4 linked regions of the Arabidopsis thaliana genome follow. The protein of the gene in region 3 binds, or shares a complex with, the protein of the main gene of each other region. Each region holds a gene or a part of one and is shown on either strand. Other genes may lie near its edges.

Evidence for each region.
Region 1: CDC2 (region 3) and RBR1 share a complex: the UniProt entries of both Arabidopsis thaliana proteins name them as parts of the DREAM-like complex.
Region 2: CDC2 (region 3) and MYB3R-3 share a complex: the UniProt entries of both Arabidopsis thaliana proteins name them as parts of the DREAM-like complex.
Region 4: CDC2 (region 3) and ATE2F2 share a complex: the UniProt entries of both Arabidopsis thaliana proteins name them as parts of the DREAM-like complex.

What each region holds. Positions count from the first base shown.
Region 1 is NC_003074.8:3,913,321-3,921,047, reverse strand, and holds RBR1 (retinoblastoma-related 1), read left to right. Parts: upstream 1-1,688; 5' UTR 1,689-2,160; intron 2,161-2,600; 5' UTR 2,601-2,614; coding exon 2,615-2,698; intron 2,699-2,813; coding exon 2,814-2,918; intron 2,919-3,004; coding exon 3,005-3,147; intron 3,148-3,226; coding exon 3,227-3,323; intron 3,324-3,409; coding exon 3,410-3,456; intron 3,457-3,723; coding exon 3,724-3,916; intron 3,917-4,047; coding exon 4,048-4,114; intron 4,115-4,200; coding exon 4,201-4,380; intron 4,381-4,480; coding exon 4,481-5,536; intron 5,537-5,631; coding exon 5,632-5,794; intron 5,795-5,892; coding exon 5,893-5,965; intron 5,966-6,086; coding exon 6,087-6,263; intron 6,264-6,356; coding exon 6,357-6,476; intron 6,477-6,558; coding exon 6,559-6,691; intron 6,692-6,783; coding exon 6,784-6,896; intron 6,897-7,004; coding exon 7,005-7,120; intron 7,121-7,202; coding exon 7,203-7,377; 3' UTR 7,378-7,699; downstream 7,700-7,727. Other genes in the region: AT3G12290 (Amino acid dehydrogenase family protein), read right to left, coding at 61-273, 381-538, 712-895, 1,344-1,457. UniProt on the Arabidopsis thaliana protein: Key regulator of entry into cell division. Acts as a transcription repressor of E2F target genes, whose activity is required for progress from the G1 to the S phase of the cell cycle.
Region 2 is NC_003074.8:2,877,449-2,882,892, forward strand, and holds MYB3R-3 (myb domain protein 3r-3), read left to right. Parts: upstream 1-1,904; 5' UTR 1,905-2,085; coding exon of another isoform or gene 2,086-2,127; 5' UTR 2,128-2,369; coding exon 2,370-2,611; intron 2,612-2,723; coding exon 2,724-2,775; intron 2,776-2,872; coding exon 2,873-2,930; intron 2,931-3,218; coding exon 3,219-3,313; intron 3,314-3,396; coding exon 3,397-3,500; intron 3,501-3,576; coding exon 3,577-3,705; intron 3,706-3,803; coding exon 3,804-4,680; 3' UTR 4,681-4,907; downstream 4,908-5,444. Other genes in the region: AT3G09360 (Cyclin/Brf1-like TBP-binding protein), read left to right, coding at 47-175, 306-395, 601-654, 742-984. UniProt on the Arabidopsis thaliana protein: Transcription factor that binds 5'-AACGG-3' motifs in gene promoters. Transcription repressor that regulates organ growth.
Region 3 is NC_003074.8:18,069,936-18,075,180, forward strand, and holds CDC2 (cell division control 2), read left to right. Parts: upstream 1-1,518; 5' UTR 1,519-1,736; intron 1,737-2,251; 5' UTR 2,252-2,302; coding exon 2,303-2,311; intron 2,312-2,384; coding exon 2,385-2,569; intron 2,570-2,653; coding exon 2,654-2,774; intron 2,775-2,869; coding exon 2,870-3,043; intron 3,044-3,299; coding exon 3,300-3,463; intron 3,464-3,661; coding exon 3,662-3,749; intron 3,750-3,851; coding exon 3,852-3,905; intron 3,906-4,271; coding exon 4,272-4,361; 3' UTR 4,362-4,706; downstream 4,707-5,245. UniProt on the Arabidopsis thaliana protein: Involved in the control of the cell cycle. Essential for both G1/S and G2/M (mitosis) phase transitions. Functions in cell morphogenesis as well as cell proliferation.
Region 4 is NC_003070.9:17,632,745-17,638,348, reverse strand, and holds ATE2F2 (winged-helix DNA-binding transcription factor family protein), read right to left. Parts: upstream 3,653-5,604; 5' UTR 3,413-3,652; coding exon 3,179-3,412; intron 2,918-3,178; coding exon 2,731-2,917; intron 2,620-2,730; coding exon 2,560-2,619; intron 2,476-2,559; coding exon 2,390-2,475; intron 2,191-2,389; coding exon 2,102-2,190; intron 2,014-2,101; coding exon 1,959-2,013; intron 1,791-1,958; coding exon 1,738-1,790; intron 1,646-1,737; coding exon 1,595-1,645; intron 1,516-1,594; coding exon 1,467-1,515; intron 1,387-1,466; coding exon 1,321-1,386; intron 1,235-1,320; coding exon 1,164-1,234; intron 1,074-1,163; coding exon 959-1,073; intron 867-958; coding exon 792-866; 3' UTR 540-791; downstream 1-539. UniProt on the Arabidopsis thaliana protein: Involved in transcriptional repression. May act by repressing E2F-regulated genes in mature differentiated cells, but is not an antagonist of E2FA.

The sequences.
Region 1 (7,727 bases), about 14 Mb from region 3:
GATCTACAAGAGGTAGACTAAATTATCTTCTAAATGACAATGAAAATGTATGAAAATCACCATGTGGGCTTGTCCGCATGCAGCAATAACAATGTCAGCTTCCCGTATGATAGCCTCAGGATCCTTGGTGTGAGAATGTACAGTTGTGACAGTAGCATCAGCCTTGAGCAAAAGAAGTGAAACGGGCAAACCAACAATGTTACTCCGACCTACAACAACTGCTCGTTGCCCCTTTATCTTTACGCCGCTTCTAGCTAGGAGTTCCAAACATCCCTGCACACACAGAAAATCACCTCATAGTTGATACAGAAGAAAAACAGAACACTGAGATTTCTCGCTTGAAAGAGACTGAAGTCTATATGCAAAAAAAGGAGAAGTACCTTTGGGGTGCAAGGAAGGAAGAGGGGTTCTCTGCCTTTCATGGCTAGCTTACCAATATTCAAAGGATGGAAGCCATCGACATCTTTATCAATGCTGATTGCACCCAATATATGCTCCTCATTAATATGTTTCGGCAATGGGAGTTGAACTAATATGCCTGCAAATCAAACACCAAAGCTTATATAAGCACAGGAGAGCAAGGAATGTTTGCTTTATACCAAAACGAAAGACTTGCATAGACATTAAAGTTTCTATCTATCCTTAATAGTTTAGACTAATGATAACCGAGAAGACATACAAAATCAAGTATTATTTACCGCCACAACTAACCATGGACATCCGGATTTGAATTTAGTTCATGAACTTTGCTAATAAGATCAGCTTCAGAAACTTCCTCTGGTAGGCCCACGTCAAATGACTTAATCCCAACCTCAGCGCACGCTTTCCTCTTCGTATTCACATAGGTCTGTGAATCCTTTCGGCTCCCAACAATAACTACAGCTAGTCCTGGGACCTGCATGAAGGTAAAATCAGATTCGATTGAATCTCGTACATTCTTGAAACTATATAAAGGGGTCCAACTGAAGCAACTGAACAAACGCACTAAACCATTTATTACACATACTCTCGTTCCTTCTATTTTATTACAATGATATCAAACATTATAAGCTTAGCACACACTATCTGTATAAATAAGATAGTATGCCACTTGAAGTAATGCAGGCAGCTCAAAAATCCAGCGAAACAAAATAACAGTGATCTAACTAAAATGGAGCTTACATTTGACCCTGTTAAGCATTTTCAATAGAAGGTTGTGATCATAGCTGCTTAAATCTAGTCATTTTAAACCATAAAGCTAAAAGAGAGTAAATTTTCAATAGTGCTATCATCTTATAAAAGAACGGAGAATTATAAGGAGAGACATGTCAAGATTAGGACACTGATTCATAAGATGCGTTTACCTTGCCGTGTTTCTCAGATAGACCGCGAACTTCCTCGGCGATCTCTGATCTGATGGTATGAGCAATCGCCTTGCCGTCGATTATCTTCGCCGTGTGATCAGATGATGACGCCATGAGCCACTAGGAATTTGCCTCGTGTCGGAAATATCTAATTCTCTCTCTGGATCCACTCACACTCGAAGATGACGAAGAAGACTTAATCTGAATCCATCCGCGGATAGGACACTCATACTTCTGCAACCAAACGTTCTACAATGGCAAATATGTAATTTCCCGCGTGACCTAAACTAGAAACGGCATCGTATTAAGGGTGGGCCCAATCATAACTCACACGAGGCTTTGTCGCGGTCACGAAAACCCAGACGGCGTTAATGGCCCACTCCGTTTGTTTCGACCCCGCCGTGACGGCGAATCTTTCCCTCTCAGCGTTTCACGCAACAGTAAGTAAGTTTTGGCGGTAAAATTGGGTCACAGATGGGTACGTGTCGATTTAATAGTGGTTGAAAGCGCGCGAATATAATTGTATACGTATGTGTATGTATTCTCCGTGTTGTTTTTCCCGCGCGAGATATATCCTTTTTTAGGGTTTGCCGCATAATCAGACCCCATTCTAGAGAGAGAAGAGGGAAGTCAGGTGAAGATAGAGAGAGACACTGAGAGGAGGGAAAATTTGTAGGGTTTTCGGAGATCTCTGTGATTCCTCTGAATTTGTCGAATTTTTTGGAGGAGGCGTTAGAAGTCGGGCTTCTTAAAAATCAGATCTTCTGCTCAGGCTTTAATCGGCGACGTCTGGTATTGGGATCTGTGACACAAAAAGGTAAGATCTTTCTCTATTGCCTATCCTTTGATTTGAAATCTTATCCTCTAGGTGGTTTATCTGAAATTTTCTATTGATATTTCGCTATTCGATTGTAAGTTGGTGAGAGAATTCTCCAAAAACAAAAAAGAGAAAAACTTTGAATGAATATTTAAGATAACATCTGGGTAAAATTTTTCCGGAGTGGTGGGTTTTAGATTATGCCCCAATTTCTCTTCTTTTTTTCCCCCAAATTTTGTCTTTCTGCCATGTTTTGGGAAATTGGGAGTTTGTTTTCTCATGTCTGTTAGTGTGTTCTTCCGAATGGGTTGGGCATGGTTCCTATTGAATTTCAGTGTGATTAAATTAACAAATCTCTTTGCTTGAAAAGTCCCTTTTTCTTCGTCTTCAGTTAGCAGTTTAATTGGAAGTAAAATTAGCTTGATTTTGCATGTTTTCAGCTGCGTTGGAGACTATGGAAGAAGTTCAGCCTCCAGTGACCCCGCCCATTGAACCAAATGGGAAAAGAAGCGAAGCCTCTCTCTTGGACATATGCGAGGTTTACTCTTCTCTTTGCTGATCTAGTTGCATTTGTTTAGTTGAAGATACCATTTGAGTTCTCTCGGAAATTTTGAGGACTAGCTCTAATCCCTGTAGTTGATTTCTTATTGCAGAAAGTTCTGTCTCTTGATGGGAGCACTTGCGATGAAGCTTTGAAGTTGTTTACAGAAACCAAACGAATTTTGTCAGCAAGCATGTCTAACATTGGAAGTGGAACGGTGAAATACATTTTTCCTCTAACTTCTCTTTTATCAGTTAACTGTGGTTTCATTATGACTAAATCCTTTTTTCTTCTTCTTATTAGCGGGAAGAAGTAGAGAGGTTCTGGTTTGCGTTTATTCTCTATTCAGTGAAGAGGCTTAGTGTGAGAAAAGAAGCGGATGGTCTGTCAGTGTCTGGTGATAATGAGTTTAATCTATGTCAGATACTGAGGGCTCTGAAGCTAAAGTAAGTAGTGTTCAATTCTTCCTTCCTTGTCATTCTTAAATTCATTTGTAGTGACGATTTTCCTCTTTTCTGTTTATAGTATTGTGGATTTTTTTAAAGAGTTACCTCAGTTTGTGGTCAAGGCTGGATCTGTACTGGGTGAACTTTACGGCGCAGACTGGGAGAACAGACTTCAGGTTTTGACTAACATCTTTTAAATATACTTCTACTTCTATTATATCATTGTTAAATATGCTTCTATTAACTAATTTTTACTTACTAGGCAAAGGAGGTGCAGGCTAACTTTGTGCATCTTAGCCTTCTAAGCAAGTGAGTTTAGCTCCCTTCCTATTTTACATTTATCTTTGTTTTGTGTAAGAATAGTTATTGACATAGATTTCATATTTTGGACCTGCAACTTAGAAGCAAATTTTCTTCCTATGCAATAATCAGAATATGGGCTTGCAATATTCCTTCAATTTTAAATTAATTAAGATTTAGAGTTACAGATTTCTGGTTTTCATGTGATTATATTCTGTGAATTGTTTTAAGGACATGTTAAAGTATGATGTTTTTGGTACCTTTCCTTGGTAACAGATACTACAAACGTGGGTTCCGGGAATTCTTTTTGACATATGATGCAAACGCAGAAAAGAACTCAGCAAACTCTTCTACCTATTTGCTGGATAGTTATCGTTTTGGATGGCTACTCTTTTTGGCACTCCGAAACCATGCGTTTAGTCGATTTAAGGACCTCGTGACATGCTCAAATGGCGTAGTTTCTATATTGGTTAGTGACTACCTGTGGAGCTCTCCCTAATCTTTCATTCATTTTAGTCTTGCTGTACATTATTACTTGAAAGATGCTTCGTTTAATATAACGCAATTGAAGTATAGGCTAACTCCTTTTCATGTTATCAGGCTATTTTGATCATACATGTTCCTTGTCGGTTTAGAAATTTCAGCATCCAAGATTCTTCTCGCTTTGGTGAGTGTTTATCTTTTCTTCTATCCCGATAACCATGGCACCATAGAATGTTTATCATCTATTTTCATTTATGTGATGAATCTCAGTTAAGAAAGGTGACAAAGGTGTAGACTTGGTTGCATCACTTTGCAAGATATATGACGCCTCAGAAGATGAGTTGAGGATAGTAATTGACAAGGCAAATAATTTGGTAGAAACCATACTGAAGAAAAAGCCATCTCCAGCATCTGAGTGCCAAACTGACAAGCTAGATAATATTGACCCAGGTTGGTCTAAAATCATTTTCCTTCTTCAATTAAAGAATCATGTGAGTTCATTGAACAGTTGCCTGATTGTTCTTCGAATCTATATGGTGTTTTACTGCAGATGGCTTGACCTACTTTGAGGATTTACTGGAAGAGACGTCCATCTCAACTAGCTTAATTACACTTGAAAAGGATTACTATGATGGTAAAGGCGAACTTGATGAGAGGGTATTCATCAATGAAGAGGATAGCTTACTTGGATCTGGAAGCTTATCTGCAGGAGCTGTTAATATTACTGGTGTTAAGAGGAAAATTGATGCTTTGAGCTCACCTGCAAGGACATTTATAAGCCCACTTTCTCCTCATAAGTCGCCTGCTGCTAAGACAAATGGTATTAGCGGTGCTACCAAGTTGGCAGCAACACCAGTGAGCACAGCAATGACAACTGCCAAGTGGCTCAGGACTGTCATATCCCCGCTTCTGCCAAAACCTTCTCCTGGGTTGGAACATTTCCTTAAATCATGTGATAGGGATATAACAAATGACGTCACACGAAGAGCACACATAATATTGGAAGCTATTTTCCCAAATAGTTCCCTTGGTGCCCAATGTGGAGGTGGAAGTTTGCAAGCTGTTGACCTGATGGATGACATATGGGCAGAGCAGCGCAGATTAGAAGCTTGTAAGTTATACTACAGAGTTCTTGAGGCAATGTGTAAAGCAGAAGCTCAGATTTTGCATGCAAATAATCTGAACTCTTTATTGACAAATGAGAGGTTCCATAGATGCATGCTTGCTTGCTCAGCTGAATTGGTACTGGCTACCCACAAAACAATTACAATGTTGTTCCCAGCTGTTCTGGAGAGGACTGGGATCACAGCCTTTGATCTCAGCAAGGTAATTGAGAGTTTCATACGACATGAAGATTCTCTGCCTAGAGAGTTGAGACGACATCTGAATTCACTGGAGGAACGGCTTCTAGAGAGTATGGTATGGGAGAAAGGCTCTTCAATGTACAATTCTCTGATTGTTGCCAGGCCATCGCTTGCATTGGAGATAAATCAGCTCGGTTTACTAGCTGAACCAATGCCATCTCTGGATGCAATCGCAGCACTTATTAATTTCTCTGACGGAGCAAATCATGCATCATCTGTACAAAAGCATGAAACTTGTCCAGGTAGTTTTATTTGTTTCTGAATTAAAGCAGTTTTCCAACCTGTTGTTAATGGTATGATTTTCTTACCAAAAATTGTCAAATTTGCTGCCATATAGGACAAAATGGGGGGATTAGATCGCCCAAAAGATTATGTACTGATTACCGCAGCATTCTAGTTGAACGCAATTCCTTTACATCACCAGTAAAGGATCGTCTGTTGGCCTTAGGCAACGTTAAATCCAAGATGCTGCCACCTCCGTTGCAGTCTGCATTTGCCAGGTACATTTTGAGTAACTATGAGTAGAAATGGAGAGTTAGTTTACCTATCTAGTTGTCCCTGTACTTGTTAAGTAACCTCTTCGGATTTATGTCTACAGCCCAACACGGCCCAACCCAGGAGGTGGAGGAGAAACTTGTGCAGAAACTGGAATCAATATTTTCTTCACAAAGGTAGGTCTGTGAGATCTTTGGATCTACTACTAATCGTTTGGTTAGATGATGTACTACAAAACACGGTATTGATTCTTCATTTTCGGCTGGGAATTGTGTTAAATGTGGTGGCTCTTCCCAGATTAATAAATTGGCTGCTGTAAGAATCAATGGAATGGTGGAAAGACTACAACTTTCACAGCAAATAAGGGAGAGTGTGTATTGTTTCTTCCAACATGTACTTGCTCAGCGGACTTCTCTTTTATTCAGTCGACACATTGACCAGATCATTCTCTGTTGCTTCTACGGAGTGGCCAAGGTGAGTAGTGTGATTCAAAGGGTTTAACTATATGTCATCTGGTTTACAATGGCTTCTCTTACACTTACACTTTTTCCATGAATCACCTTGTAGATATCCCAAATGAGCCTGACTTTCAGGGAAATCATATACAACTACCGGAAGCAACCACAGTGTAAACCATTAGTTTTCCGCAGCGTTTATGTGGATGCGTTACAATGTCGCCGTCAAGGGGTATATATACACTCTTAACCTTATGCTGAAAAGTTTCTTTACTCGGTGGAGAAGACTAAATTTGTGACAATGACTTGAACAGAGAATAGGGCCAGATCATGTTGACATCATCACATTCTACAATGAAATATTTATTCCTGCCGTAAAGCCGCTGCTGGTGGAGCTAGGTCCTGTAAGAAACGACCGGGCTGTGGAAGCCAATAATAAGCCTGAAGGTAGTTAAGAAAGGCCAGATACTTGTTAGATGTAAGCTTTGTCTATCAATTTAGTCCCTAAGTTAAATGATCGTCTTATTTTGGATTCACAGGTCAATGTCCCGGATCGCCAAAGGTGTCTGTGTTTCCAAGTGTTCCAGACATGTCCCCTAAAAAAGTATCTGCAGTGCACAATGTTTATGTTTCTCCTCTTCGGGGATCAAAGGTAAAGAAGATCATAGTGCTTAACTCTTTATCATGATATGACTAAGTCTTGAGGAGGAGGTAGGTGACAAGATTGTTTGGTTACCTTCCATGTGTTGTGTGTTTGCAGATGGATGCTCTTATTTCACACAGTACAAAGAGTTACTATGCTTGTGTTGGAGAGAGTACACATGCTTACCAGAGCCCTTCAAAGGACCTATCTGCCATCAACAACCGCTTGAACAAGTAAGTAGAAAAATCACGTCTCTCATCAGCTTCTTCCATAAAACCAATCACTGACCCAATCCAATTTCATCTGGTGTCACAGCAGCAGCAGCAACCGCAAGAGGACGCTAAACTTTGACGCAGAAGCAGGGATGGTCAGCGATTCCATGGTAGCAAATAGCCTTAACCTCCAAAACCAAAATCAAAACCAAAATGGAAGCGATGCATCGTCCTCAGGTGGTGCCGCACCCCTTAAAACCGAGCCAACAGATTCATAGATATCTCTCTCTACTTGCTACACCAACTTCTCTTCAGTTATAGCATCTGTAAATCCTTATGTTGCAGAGTTTGCTTTTATGTTTAGCTTTCTAGTTTATAGTGATCACCTCAGGCTATGAGCGGATGGATCCCTTTATTGTTTCTTTTTTCTTTTTTTATCTTAGTTAAGTCAGTCTTAATAAGCATTAATAAATGTCTTTTTCTTGTTCACTCTTTCTAACTGTGTTCGGTGTCCCATCTACTAAATTTATTTTCCACTTTAAAAAAAAACAATTTGTGACATTTACTTAACTTGGAACATATACAGTACAGTTAAGCAATTAACTATAACCAACAAATTGTCTGAACA
Region 2 (5,444 bases), about 15 Mb from region 3:
ATCACCTAGGAGATCAAATCACATACAAAATTATGTTGTTTTGTAGGAGCAAGCTGCTAAGGAAGCAGCTCTGAAGGCGGCTAGTGAAGCTTTAAAAGCTAGCAACTCTAATTGCCCAGAAGATGCAAGAAAGGCTTTCGAAGCTGCCAAAGCTGATGCGGCAAAATCTAGAAAGGTGACTCAGTTTGAACTTTGAAATTATGTTCCTGATCAAGCATCTGACTTTTGGAGAATAACATGATACCCATTGATGACATATGGTTTCTCAATCAATTTCTGATTCTTTTTTCTCTCTCTTCATATAGGAAAAGCAACAAAAAAAAGCTGAGGAAGCAAAGAACGCGGCTCCTCCAGCCACAGCAGTGGAGGCGGTACGCCGAACGCTTGATAAAAAGGTTAGAATGTCAGCTTCTTTGATACCTTGATACTTGAAAACGAATATGCAAAAAAAGATAAACCGAGTATGCCATGTATCATCTGTTAAAAACCTGGCCTGGAAGTACATAGTCAACAACATGGCTGTCGAAATTATTAGCATTGAAGAAACTTTAGAGTCTGTGTTTCTTCCTTTTTCCTGATTTTGAGTGTTGACTCTTACAGAGACTTAGTTCGGTGATCAACTACGATGTTTTGGAGTCGCTATTTGATACATCCGTAAGTTTTTGATTACCTCTTCTTGTATCCTCAATTCTCATCACTTTTTGAGGTCTTTACAATTTTGCTTCTCTTTTCTTCTTTCAGGCACCTGAGAAATCACCCAAGAGGTCGAAAACAGAGACAGACATTGAGAAGAAGAAGGAAGAGAACAAGGAAATGAAGAGTAATGAACATGAGAATGGTGAAAATGAAGATGAAGATGAAGAGGATGAAGAAGAAGGCAATGTAGAATCATACGACATGAAGACAGATTTTCAAAACGGCGAGAAATTCTATGAAGAGGACGAGGAAGAAGAAGAGGATGGTAATGATTTTGGATTGTATTGATGATATGTATTGTGAAACACAAGAGTTTTAATTTCTTTTGTTTTGCCGGATTAGTTGATTTTATTTGCATTAATATAGGAGAACCCCAACTAAATTTATTCTTTATTATCAGTAACAAATATTTAAGATTTAAAAGAAAAAAAAGTTCACACAAATGATCTATTTATTTTTACAATTCAAGTGGTACTGACTAAGAAATGAAAAACCACTAACTTAATTAATTTAATAAAATCTATATGTATTTAATTTTGATAATTTTATTTTCCTTGTTTATGATAATTCTAATTTCTATCAGATAACAACTAACAATCACTGAACTTATCTCACCTATTTGATGAGCTAAATGTATTTTAAATTTATTTTTCTATAAAGATATAACTGAAACAAAAGTGATGACTTTTTATGAAAATTCCCAAAATCAAATACCAGAAAATTCAATTTTAAACAAAATGTGTCGGTCCGGATGATCTTACATCTAGCTTGGTTTTACAGGATAGTATTTAAGAAGAATCATAAAGTTCATCTCAAACCAAATCCGACGGTCCAGAGTCACCTGCAAAGCTTGGCATCGTATACGTGTTCAGTGGTCAACGGATCAGCTACGAGTGCCGTTTGAGGTTCAAACTTCTGTTTCTGAGGTTAACTCTCTACCGTTAACGTCCGTTAGTGTACCTTCTAACCTTGACGACTTTTCCACTTTCCAAAAGATAACGACGGCGTTAAATTGGTCTATTTTACTGAACCAGCTTTAACCAGAATTAGATTGCATTACATTCAACTCGTGCTTATGGATAAATATCAGTTCGGTTTGGAGAAAATAGGTTACTTAAGGTAAAAAGAACGGCAAGTAACGGTGTGACGTCAGCAGAAGAAGTATTCGTTATAATAGTGAGAGAGAGAGAGATAAAACTTAGGGAACCCTTTTTTATGTTTTATTTTCTCGCTTTGTTTCGATCAAGTCTTCTCTTTCTCTCTCTATCCCTCTCTCTCTGGTTCAACGGGCAAAGTATTTTTCGAATAAAGTTTTGGTTTTTTTTTTAACGTTCCTTTCGCCTTCTTTCTTCTTCTTCTGCTGGTGAATTCGTGTATCTATCTATCTCGATGAGCTCCACTTTTAATCCAGCCGCTTCTTCTCCAGATGAGGTTAGTTTTTGTGTATCGAATCTGAATTTTTAAGGGTTTTGTTCTTGTGATCAGATTCTAGTGAAATTGAGTTCTTTGTTGTTTGGCTCTGATTCGAAACGAATTTAACTTTATTGAAACTATAAATTTTTGTGATTACAATTGTTATAAACCCTAATTTTGCTGTGGTTGGTGTTAATGTTGAGCTGTTTACTGAATTCGTGATTTGTGAGATCTGGGTTCTGTCTGCTTTGTGTTTTACGATGATTGCTTTTTTAGGGTTTCTCTGTTTCTTATCAAAGTCTGGATCTTTTTTTTCTTTCATTGAGATGATGGATCTTCAGGAAGAAACAGGTGAAGTGAAAATTGAGGATCAGTGTGTAGAAAATAAGCAATCAACACCTGCTTCGTGCTCTTCTGTATCTGAAGGCAGTGCTGGTAGTTCCCACAAGTCACCTACAATTGCAAGTCCTGCCACAGTATCACCTACTCATAGGTACCTCGGGTTAGTTCGTCTCCTTCTTCTTCTTCCTTGTTTTGTATCTCCTCCGCAGCACTCGTTTGCGAATTTGCATCTTTTCTACAAGAGATTGATGTTGATAGTGTTTGGTATGCAGGAGGACGAGTGGCCCTATAAGGCGAGCCAAAGGTGGGTGGACTCCGGAAGAGGTTAGTATTGAGTATTGACTAGTGATTGCTTTTGACCAATATCAATTTTGGATCAGTAGTTCGAAATTCAAGATGTGAGTTGTTTTACTTAATGCAGGATGAGACATTGAGACAAGCAGTTGACACGTTTAAAGGCAAGAGCTGGAAGAACATAGGTAAGTCTCTTCTTCTTTTTAGATTCTAGTTCTCATATTAACAAGAGTAATGTCAGTGCTACAACATACTCCATAGATTTGTGGTTCGAATATTAAAGTTGGAGCCTACTTGCTTACAGTAACTATTAGTTCCATACTCTTGTCTCTGTAGTTTTATGAGTTACTCTTGTATGTTAACTTGATCATCTGAGGCTGAGCATCTAGTAGAAAGACTTTCTTTTACGTTTGTTTCCGTTTTGTTCCGTGAAGCATTTAGTATTGTTTGAATTGGTGTATTCATTTTTGCAGCGAAATCTTTCCCTGATAGAACTGAAGTTCAATGCCTGCATCGGTGGCAGAAAGTTCTAAATCCAGACCTTATTAAGGGACCTTGGACACATGAGGTTGATTCTGTTTCTGATTTTATTTATTATTTGGCTTCATTTTTTATGTGAAATACGAAGGCTTAAAGTTTGTTGTTTTGCAGGAGGATGAGAAAATCGTTGAACTGGTTGAAAAATACGGGCCTGCGAAATGGTCTATTATCGCACAGTCTTTACCAGGTCGAATTGGGAAGCAATGCCGAGAGAGGTAGTTAATTCATATGAGCCAAGCATTTTTCTTATAGTTATATTGGAAGCTTTAATGTGTTTTGATATGTATGCAGGTGGCATAACCATTTGAATCCTGATATTAACAAGGATGCTTGGACCACAGAGGAAGAAGTAGCTCTCATGAATGCTCATCGAAGCCACGGAAACAAATGGGCTGAAATTGCTAAGGTCTTACCCGGCAGGTATTTTTACTTTTCTTGGCATGCGTCATTGGAGTTGAGACTTTAGAGAAGGGTTAGCTTCTGGGTTTAATGAAGGTTTTACTTAAAACTTGCTGCAGGACTGATAATGCAATAAAGAACCATTGGAATAGTTCATTGAAAAAGAAGTCAGAATTCTACTTATTGACTGGTAGGTTACCACCACCAACAACAACAAGGAATGGTGTTCCTGATAGTGTAACCAAACGTTCATCGTCTGCTCAGAAAAGGGTTTTTGGTTCAGTTGCTCAAACCTCATCAGTAACTACAGATGTAAACAATCTCGCTGAAGACGGAAATGGCCAAATAAACTCATCTGTTCCTGTCGAAGAAGTAGTAGCTGCTTCACGAATGACTAGTCTTAATGAGTATGCTCGTTCTCCTCAGTTGCCTAACCCAGAGCCATTGCCAGAGAATGGTGGAGCTGCAAATAATGGTTATCATCTGTACTACACGCCTCAAATAGACTATTACAGGGCGTCAGAAGTGGATACGCAGCGTATGTATGGGAATGAATGTGGTTGCAGTCCAAGCGCATCACCAGTTAGCTTCTTCACTCCACCGCCGTGTAGGAATGTGCACAGTAACGGTTCGACTCCAAGAAGTCCTGAATCTTACCTGAGAGAAGCTGGTAGAACTTACCCAAACACACCATCCATATTCAGGAAAAGACGACCCAGGGTTGTTGTTCAGGATAACAACAACGCCAAGAAAACAGATGAAGCTAAAGAGGTTGATCAAAAGGTGAATGATGGTAAGGATAGTTCAGAGATTCAAAATAATGGATCAAATGCTTACAATCTATCTCCTCCATATCGGATAAGATCGAAAAGGACAGCAGTTTTCAAATCAAGACAGCTTGAGTTTATATCTAGAGAGGAAGAGAAAGCTGATGATGAAACCAAATCATCTGAGAAAGATATGTTGATTGATGGAGATTCTCAACTCCTAGGCTAAACAGTGACTAGATGATTACACGCTGAATGTTGTTTCATTGGTTATATTTTTATTTTTGGGTTAATGTTAGAGATGTTAGATGTATTTAGTCCAAAGAATAATTTACACCTCATAGTTGAGCTAGGTTTTTTTTTTCCATAACAAAAAAAAGATCTTCAGTAGTGGGCCATAGAAATTGGTGCATGTTCTTGATTATTTGATTGATATGCGTCTTTGATTATTTGAACATTGAATCATTCGTTCACCGATGTGAACAATATCACTCTGCTTTGAATTTTTTTCTAAATAGACTTTATGATGTCATTATTCAAACGGGTAGGTAATTTACAAATCATAAGATAGTTTCACATTGACAAAAGTGTTTTAGATCAAATCAGCTATATTCTTTGGCAACTCGTCAATCTGAGTACTGTAGTACTGCTCAATGTCCCGGAGAATCTTGATCTCGTCGATTTTAACAAAGTTGATTGCAACACCCTTACGTCCGAAACGACCAGACCGTCCAATACGATGAATGTAGAGCTCACGGTTGTTAGGGAGATCATAATTGATGACAAGAGAAACTTGATCCACATCAATCCCACGTGCAAACATATCTGTTGTGATCAAAACGCGACTTTCACCTGTCCGAAACTGATTCATGATCTCGTCTCTCTCCTTCTGAGGCATGTCCCCATGCATTGATGAGACAGTGAAGTTGCTGCTCCTCATTTTCTCACTAATATAGTCCACTTTTCGTTTTGTGTTGCAGAAGATAACAGCTT
Region 3 (5,245 bases):
GACACCAAGCGCAACAACGAAAGTCGATTCCCTGAATCCAAATTGTGTTCCTCCCTCTGTAATTCGAAACCCCCAAATCAAATCTCACCCAAAAGTAATTAAGAGACTCTGATTTGAAAACAAAAACAAGTAACGAGGTAGGTGTAAAGACTTTACTGGGAGAAAGAGAGAGGGAGAGGGAAAAAGAAAGAGAGAGAAAGAGAGAGGGGGAGAGAGAGAAAGAGGGAGGGAAGATAGAAGGGAAGAGAGAGGTAGACGGAAAGAGAAATGGAGAAAAATAGATAAAGGGGTAAACTTGGAATTAATATACAAAATATAGAGGATATCAGTTCTTTTTCCTTTTGATGTTAGTTTCTTAATTATAAACTTTTTGTTGGTTAGTTTTGCCAATTCCCTTACTTACAACTGATAACCGTATAGCTCTTTTATCAGAAAAAACTTTATATATCTAATCTCCCAAAATATACAAATGTGAGAAATATCTGAAAATAAATCAATTCTCACCAATTATATATATTTGATTACTTAAAAATGTTAATATATGGCAGTTGCTTGTTCAGAGAATAACTTAAAAAATTGATCACGAGATCGGCTTATGTTTAATATTTTTGAACTCTTGGGATAAAAGTTTTGAAGATATATATATCGTAGAAAAGTTTTGTGTTCTTTAATTAGTTACAAAATTTTGAGTTTTTTTTTTTTCTTTCATAAAGTATCAGAATATCAGGGTGATTTATTGAATAGTTTATTTTTTCTCGTTCTACTCACGTTATTCTTGCAAGTATTAATTTTGGTTTGTTTATAAAAAAAGTATTTGGAAATTTTATGTGAGCAAGTGCGAAATAAACGAGGATTTTGGGAAGTATTTTTTTTTTTGTAAAATCGGTTATATTGAACGTTATACTATATATATTATTATATAAATATAACTGCTAAAGACTAAATTTAGATACTAAAATCAGCATTGATGAAGATCCACATGAATAAGACTCGTCTCTTAACTCAACATTTAACATATGATTTTCATATTATTGATCATTTATCTTTGTGTTGGTCCAAGGTGCCAGACTTTATTATTTACATTAAATGTTGAGTTGTTTACTGACATATTTTTTAATTAAAACAACTTTCATATTATTGCCCATTTATATTTTGGTTGGTCCTCCAAAGACTTACAGGATACATATGTTTCTCCATTTTCATTTTTATGATCTAAAACGTCTTTTTCTAACTTAGATTCTAAATGGTTACAGCAAACCGGACATACAATTTTGCTTGTCAAATGGATCGTTGAGATAGACAACAATCCAATGTAAAACCAAAACTCTTGATTTATAATTGGTCTGCAATGATTTTTTTTTGGTTCATATACCATTTTATAAGATAGCAAACCATTTTCATCATAAAAGATATATTTTTTTATCATTGAATACCAATCAAACCCGGTATAATAAATAAAATTGTACCAAATTAATGCGGTTAGGTAAATTCAATTTATTGGAAATTAAAGAAGAGAAAAAAAAAATAACGAACAAAATTTCCTTGACACAAAAAAAAAAAAAGAAGAAAGAAAAAACCCTTACTCTCAATTAGTCAATCCCCTTCCCTAGTCCTCCTCTCTTCAAGCTTTTCACAGAAAACCACCACCCTTCTCTCTCTACTGCCTTTTTACCACAGAGAAGAGAGAGGATCCGTCGGTGTGCTAGTCTCACTGACACTACATCCGATCGTCGCCGGTAAGTTGATTTCGTTACTCTCCGATCAATTTCTTTTCCGGAGGAGGAACTTGTTTTCCGTGCGAAATTCTGACTTGAACTTTGTTGTCAATTCATCAAACGCTTTATCTTTTCTCCATCTTCAATTATCTTACTGCTTCGTCGCTGATCTCTACTTGTTTTCCTCCGTTTTGCATTTTCAGTGGCGTTTCTTAGTGTTTCACTAGATTTAGACTGGTTTTGCTTGTGTGCATTTTGTCATCAGTGTTTATGATTGTTCGCTTTAGCTCTATGTTTCTATGGATTTGATAATATATGAGTTCGCTGCTCTGGATTCAGCTGGCTTGTTTGATTGTTCATTTTCATAATTCTGTCCAAAGAATCAAATCCACAGTAGCTCGGATCTGAGATTGATTTGTTTCTTTGCGTCTTTGTGTAGATTTGACTTTAATTTTGAGATTGTTGTGTGCTGATATACAGCTTAATTAATATAGCCTCTGATGTGTTATTATCGATGTGTCATTATCAATCTACAGGTGACATTTTATAAGTGTGGAGTTTACTTCAGCTTTATTATTCAGGAATTGATGGATCAGGTTGGTGTAAATAGTTGTTTCAGTTCTTACTCTTTTGACGAGAGTCTCTGTTAATGTGCTCTTATTAATGCAGTACGAGAAAGTTGAGAAGATTGGTGAAGGAACTTACGGTGTGGTTTATAAGGCACGTGACAAAGTGACTAATGAGACAATTGCTTTGAAGAAGATCAGGCTAGAGCAGGAGGATGAAGGTGTTCCTAGCACAGCAATCAGAGAAATCTCCCTCTTGAAAGAAATGCAGCACAGCAACATTGTCAAGTATGATGTTAATACCATTGTTGAAAACTGATTCAGCATGATGACTCTGGTAAACAATTTTGATTGATGTTTTTTGCTACACAGATTGCAGGATGTGGTGCACAGCGAGAAACGTTTGTATCTGGTTTTTGAGTATCTTGACTTGGATCTCAAAAAGCACATGGATTCTACTCCTGATTTCTCCAAGGATCTACATATGATCAAAGTGAGTGCTAAGAAACTTTAGGCATTGTTTTATATATGTGCTTAAACTCAATACTCAATATAAGCTGATCAGAGCTGTTCATCCACTATTTTCAGACATATCTTTACCAGATTCTCCGTGGAATTGCGTATTGCCACTCTCATAGGGTTCTCCATCGTGATCTGAAGCCACAGAATTTGTTGATTGATCGCCGCACAAACTCACTGAAGCTTGCTGATTTTGGACTGGCCAGAGCATTCGGTATCCCTGTCAGGACATTTACTCATGAGGTACCAAAGAGCTTTATTCCTTGTTCATATGTTCCCGTTATGAAATCTTTTGGCTGGCTGCATTCCTTATGAGTGTAATGTAAATTAAGTATTATACCACTTATGTGTCTGATAAATGTGATGAAAAGGACTAAGCCATTTCACATAGACGGTTGAAGTAAGCTAGTTCAAGATACTGTAAAATATTTCAATGCTACATCCAGATTTCAGATCTCTTCCTGGTTATTCACACAATTTTTGCATATTGTTCCTTTAGGTTGTTACTCTCTGGTACCGAGCACCAGAGATACTCCTAGGATCTCATCATTACTCTACACCTGTTGATATTTGGTCTGTGGGGTGCATATTTGCTGAGATGATCAGCCAAAAGCCCTTATTTCCTGGAGACTCCGAGATTGATCAACTCTTCAAGATTTTCAGGTTTAATTGCTAACTTCCCCAGTCCAATATTCCTCTATATATTACAAGTGCAAAGACTTGTCTGCAATGATATCACAAGGGATTGTGGAAACATTTTCAACTTGATATCACATTTTGGAGAAGTAGTAAAGGACACAGAAATTGAATTGTTAACTGATTATAAATCTGTTACTGCCTTGTTTTGTTGTCTTCTTCTAGAATCATGGGAACTCCGTACGAGGATACATGGCGTGGGGTAACTTCTCTACCGGATTATAAATCTGCTTTCCCTAAATGGAAACCAACGGTACTTCAAATGTCTTTATTCGCTTGTACATCTTGTCTTCAGTAGTCAAGAGTTCACAACATATATTAATTCTTGCCCTTGTTTTTTTTTCTTATACCACAGGACCTAGAAACTTTTGTCCCCAATCTAGATCCCGATGGAGTCGATCTCCTTTCTGTAAGTTCACTGAGCTAGATATATACACACACATATATAGACACACTACTTCTGCTATTAGAGACCTGTATGCTTGATTGTGATGGATCTGGTCTCATGTTTCTTACTAAAAACCTTTTAACCATTTGAGGTTTTAGATGTCTTATAAAGTCATCAAGAGCCGGCGTACTAAAACCAATTCGATTAGGCTTCATAGTTTCAAAACCACATGAAGCCAAAACCAAACTTGTTTGAAATATGAACAATCTTCAAAAACCAGGATTCTTGAAATTCCTAACCAAACCAGACATCTGGATAGAAATCTAAGATTTTGAGCTCCTGTGAAAGCAAAGATGATAATATATCTCTCTGCTTGATTTGTTTCAGAAAATGCTGTTAATGGATCCGACCAAAAGAATCAACGCAAGAGCCGCCCTGGAGCATGAATACTTCAAGGATCTTGGAGGCATGCCTTAGAAAGGCATAAAACCAGTAATCTCCTTCATTCTATATATAATTATCAATCCTAAGAAAATGAAGAACAATATTAATGGGTTTTGTTTATTCTTTTTCTGAGTTCGTTTCCTACTTATATTCTATTACGAAAAAAAAGAAAGAAGAAGATTTCGAGTGTGTTTTTTTTTACTTCTAAGCTTTTGAGATCAGTTTCTTGTATCTTATTTTACCCAGAATATAGTATTTCCCTATATGAAATATGGTTTTTGTTTTGCAAAATGACCATATTATGCAACTTCTCAGCTTCTTGATTGTGCCTTGATAGTGATCTTTTGAAATATATCCCAAAAAACATCACTTTTTTCGATTTCATTAGTACTTATTTACGAGTTACGACGTCATTTGATAACTAGTATATATGGTCCGTCGATCTTAATTTCCTATTTATAAAGGGTGCACCGTTTTTAATGAGACAAGAGGGTCCAAGTAGCCAATCATTAATGAGACCAAAGTTGACCAGAAAAAGCTGACAAATAAATTGACGAGAAGAACAATTCAACACGTATTCGATAGTTTGGATTACATTTTACAGTTGGTCGAAATTCGAAGTAGATCAAATGTCAATAATCTAATTCGAAACTAAATGAAGGTACCTGATAACCATTTCAGTGTTAGTTAGCAGTGGTTTCAATCTATTCACTAAGCAAAGACGCTTCCATTCTGAAAATCAAGTCCAATGGGAGGCATAAACTTAAGTGTCTGAAAAACTCAAAAAAGCATAGCCTCGTGTAAAATAGACCGATCTATTTATTCATGAATATATGTATGATTATCAAAGTGCATTTATACTTTTTACGTTTTAAAATTTCGTATATAAACTTTCCTTAGTGAATATTATAACATAA
Region 4 (5,604 bases), on a different chromosome or scaffold from region 3:
TGGGTGAGTTTATATAGCAGAATTATATCCAACAATGTATATTAGGAAAATTATCCTCTGAAAGGCATTCCTTTTTTTTTAGGGTACGTTTTACTGTTTTAGGCAGTTACTTCTAGGCAAGAGTTATGCCATTTAACGAAAAGTATTGCTTGGGATCCAAACAAGCACCATATTTAGGGATCCACCAAGATATCAATGTCCAATGTGGTCATGATTAACTCATGAATGACATCAAACATGATATGATCTAACTCATGAATGACATCAAGCTTTGTAAAGTTGATACTTCTTTTCCACAAGATATTTTTCTCTACTAGCGTTCAAGACTTCGAGCTTTGAAACTAAATGTAACAAGATGAGAGATTAACTAGTTTTCAATTTGGAACCATTCGTTTTTTGACATGATTCTGACAGAAGTAACGTTTGATATTGTCCAAATCAGGTGGTTCGTAAATGATGCTTTGTTTCTGTTTGAACATGCAAATTGTAACCTATGGACCCAAAGTGTCAAAAAGATTAATTTCAAAGTTCATTATAAACACATGTTACAAAAACAGATGTATGCATTGACATGCAAAAGGCCATTAAGTATAATTATATATCTAATTAGAGTACAAGTTTTTTCACATAATTGCCACATCCCTTGAATGACCTTAAAATATTGCATCTTTTATTTTTATAAGGAAAAAAATCTATTAGGATTTCAGGCTCAAAAGGGGTAGTAAAATGTAACAGAAAATTCATCCTCATCCTAGTAATTGGGAATTTGAGGTTTCAAACAACTTTGTTTCTCAGCTGTTGAAGTTGCTCCATAAATCTGTGAGGCTCACCTCTGCATCTGACTCGAACCAGTAATCTGCTTTTAACTGGCAATACACAACCAAAAATTCAACTTAATCGCAACATACGAAATGCGAGACTGATCCCAAAACCCATATCAGTGGATCTAAATACTTACATCAGTATCTGAAGTTACTATTTTCAAGGAAGGAGTGTCTACTCCAACTGGAGCTTTTTGATCAGACTCATTACCCAACTTGTCGCTTGTTTCCGCACTGTCTCCTTTGTATTTGCTGCGATCATGTTTGTTCCCAGTTATTAACACTGACTGACAAATATATAGATAAGACCAGACACAGAGAGTGGAATGTGTAACTAAGTACCTTAAAAGATAGACATCAATCGGCCCCATTCTACTCCTAATCACCATCCGGTACTGTTGCGGAAAACTCATCTATCGTGAACAAAAACAGATGCTTTACTTTGTGACACATTATATTACAACTGTACAGCAAATATGAAAGCATTAAAAACGCTCACCTCATCAGGATCTGGAACTTCGATGTAACTAGCTGTAGGAGCTTTAATTGCTAGTAATGTCTGGTTCTGTATAAGGACTACCAGTTTAGTATGTTAAATAACTGAGGAAAACATAAGATGATTTTCAAGAACTAGTTGGGGAGGACCTGAAACCGTGGGAGACTCGTTATATCTTCCTCCGTCATAAACATGTACCTGTTTATTTCCATCATTGATCTTAGCAACACTCTCGTGTATATACAAAAAGATGAAACTCAAATAAACTGACGAATACCTTCTACAGTAGTCATCTTCCTCCAAGGATCTGAGAGCTTCTTGTCGTTCCCTGGAGATACATAACATGATGATCTTCAAACCATGTGGGAAAGGAACAATGGATAAGTCTCCAAACATAATATAAGAACACAAGCAACCAACCTTATAAGATCATCCAACCTGCTTTCCTCAGATTGCATACTCTCTACTTCTGACTGAAAATACGTAGATATGTAACCGGTCAGTAATGGGGAATTTGAAAATAACTGTGTGAAATAAACTATAAGACAGAAAAATAATGAAATCATGAATTTGACAGATTATTTGCATAGCAGTAAGTTCTACGACAAAGAAAACACGTGAAAATGCTTGTCACAATGAACCTTAAGCCTAGAAATTTGATCTCCCAGGTCCTTTTGTCCAAGATTGTCAGCACCCCTGCATCAATAGCGCATACACAAAGTCAGACGAACTCAAGCTATATACGCTGCAATGTATCCAAGAAAGAAAAAATTTGTGTACTTACTTCCAGCGGATATGATTCTTTGTAGTTTTCTCTATCAATCCAATTCCTTCAAGGACATTTGTAATATCATATATCCTTCTTTTTTGTACCTGTTAAGAGGGATCGCAGGAACACGTAAGCACATAAGAGGAGATCCTAACAAGCTGATGAAGATAACTAGGGAGATATCAAACAGTTAAGGCAAGGGTTATAAAGGTGAGTGATCTTTTTAGTCCACGTTCTTAATTAGATCTTCTACGAGTTGAGACATACATTTTTAACTTAAATATTAAGATACATTTAGCATACCTCCAAAACAACTGCACAATAGTTAAGGTCAAGTGTTCCATCCTCAGCTTCCTGGATCAACTTCACGAATTTTTTTGTCAACAACCCTATCAAACAAAAGAGACACCGATACAATTACAGTTGTTATCTCCATACAAACATGAACCTTAGTAAACAGAACTATTAGTTACCTAAAGAACTGTCATAACGGCAGTTAATACTAGCTCCATTTAAGCCACCATTTTGCACTTCTGCACAAAAAAACTCATTCACAACAATGCTGAATACAAACAGATTCTTATTTTCAATACATATCACATTCTAAGAGCTAGCCAAAGAGATTGATCAGAAAAAGCAGATACCGCCATTCGCCATTCGTTTCCCAGCCTTTAACAGTTTAGTACCACCCTTTGACTTGTTGTATACACGTTTAACATTTTGAGGAGACGACTCTTGTTTCACTATTACTTTAGCTATATCTATGCTTTCTCCTCCAGACATGTTGGCAATAGATCCAAGCTGAATTCGATGATTCTTTCTACTCTTCTGCTGCAAATTAAGAAAAGATCAACTCAATAGCATTACAATCACCAAAACGAATCTAAATTCGCAAATTGAGATTAGAGAATTGAAAGCTAGAGATCCAATTTTGGATTAAGTTTCCCTTAATGAAACCAAACTTCATTCAATTTTTGTTTTCGCGAAATTTGGGAATCAGAATTAAACCTAGCTATCGCAAAATCAAGTTCGGAAATGGAATCAAAATCAAAGAAGGAATCTACGAGGACTTGAGTAAACGAAGAGACTCACAACTTTCTGAGTGATTTGAGAGTAAGAATCGTCCCAGTGAGGTGAAATTAGAGGAGACAGTTGTGAATTCGGAAGCGATTGAGAGACTGAGAAAGGTCGATTCGTTGAAGAAGGAGTTAGAGAAGAGTAACGAGGATCAGAGGAAGAGATAGATTGAAGTAATTCGAAGCGAAAAGGAGATCGGTGATGGTAAGAGAGAGTCGGATCTTCGCCTGAGTTTGATGTCGCGGCCATGTAACGGCGGTGTATCTCCGGTGGTAGAGAAGATGGGATTTAGAGTGATTTTTTGAAGCGATTTTGGAGAATCGTGATTTAGGTTTTTGTGGGGGAAGATGAAGAAGGAGAAGAGGGAAGATGGAGAAAAAGATGGAGAGAGAAGAGAGGAAACAGCGGGAAGAAGAGGAAGGGTAAAAGTGTCTTTTTGTTGTATTAAAAAGATTAATATAAGAAAGAAATATTGGAATTATGTTAAAAGAGCGGTGGGCGAAAGAAGTTGGAGAGAGTTTCGAATTCTGCCTAAGCCCCGCCTAACTTCTTCCGCTTATTATTTTACTCTTTTGACTATTTGTTGGGCTTGGTCTTGGGCTTGGTCTTGGGCTTGAATTGGGCTTAATAATGTTACGACGTTTACATATCTTCTAGAGCTTCATACTTTGTAGCTTTATGTTAATGATCGACATTCATGGTTCACGAATCTATAAATACGGAGTCTCGGCATTGCTAGATTGAGTTTACAGGGGAGTCCTAATCTCCGAGGTCCATCTGCACCAATAAACTCTATGAACGGCCCAAATTTGGTCCAGTTATCATACCAAAAAGTAGTTTAGAGTTCATGGTCTTTGCCAAAAGGTAGAAATTAGAATGAATTTCTAAACCCATGATTCATTTTGTTTCTCTGGTATCATTTTTCTAGCTTTTTTTCTTTAATATTTTCATAAAAACAATTGAAGAATGAAGAGTGCTTCTGCATAGTTGAGTACTTGAGTAAGTGATATCTAATTAATATCAAATTATGTGAAAATTATACCATCTTTTATGAAGTCGTACTATATATGTATATATGTTTTTTTGTCTATCTTAATATATGTTTATGGGTCTGATTGGTAACCAAAAGTTGTTAACTCTACTACAGGTATTAAGCTGTACAATAAACTAAGAGTAAAACTTTGTAACGCTTAGTACCGTTTTGTAAAGTGGTTACCAATCAAAACCTATATTAGGTTATAAGGAAGCGATGGGTGCATTGACGACAAACACACAAACTTGGTGTATAGCGCTACACAAGGGACTGTTTTTTTTTTCATTGTATTATTACCAATTGCATCATGTAACAAAAATAGGAATTCAAAATACTGAATTAATTAATCATGATTTTGAATAAACAAAACATATTAAAGGAATGTAAATATAATTGAGTTATTTCAAAGAGTTTTCGTATCGCATAAGTTTGATACCTTAACTTGTTTTCGTAAAACTGGACAAATATGACGAGAAAAAATCCCTTCATGATATCATGATGGCTTAAATCAACGTAATTTCCATTAGTTTAGATCTGAGAGACTGAAACATTGGTGTACCAAACAATGTAAAACACACATTTTCGTCCCTATGGCATGTGACAACTTTTTAGCCAAAAAAAAGAAAGAGTATTTTATTTAGAAAAATATTTGTGAAGACATATTATCCACATTTTTAAAATTTATTGTAGCCATGGATCAGAAAAATTATATTATATTTTAGTTTAACTGTGACAAACAAACAAAACAAGATTATCCATATAAATGTAAGTTCGTCTAGATATTCATACAGAAAAAGTTTGTCTAGTTGCATTTTTGTTGTCCTAAATTTCAAGTGCACTAACGCGAAATCTACTTCACTTGTCATGGTGCAGTAAGAAAAAAACAGTAAATAAAAAATGAAAAAAATATGGAAACACTAAAAAAGAATTTACAATAGTCGATAGCATTTTTATTTGTTTACTTTGGTTCCTTTTTTCTACTTTTATACAAAAGAAAAGGTGAGGAGGAATTTATAGCCTCTAAAAGTGATCTTACAAGTTATCTAACGTTGTTTTTTTGGTAAGAAGTTATTTTTATTATAACTCCTACCATTTAGGTAATTAACTTCCTTAGGCTTAAGAGTTTTCTACAACTATTAGATTTTAACCCGTAGTACACCATGAAGATTTTTTTTTTTAAAATTAGTATATATAAAAGTTTGAAAATTATATCTATCTATAAAATATTTTTATTTTATATTTTATAATTCTTATTAAGTAACGTTCTTCCAAACCCGTCTCGCCAAACCTGTCCTATAAAAAAAAAAGACGTACACCGCTAATTTAAATAAATAATTAAAATAAATATTTTACAGGATTGCAATTGTATTTTAGTTTGTTAAACAAATTTTTGTTTTAAATAGTTGTC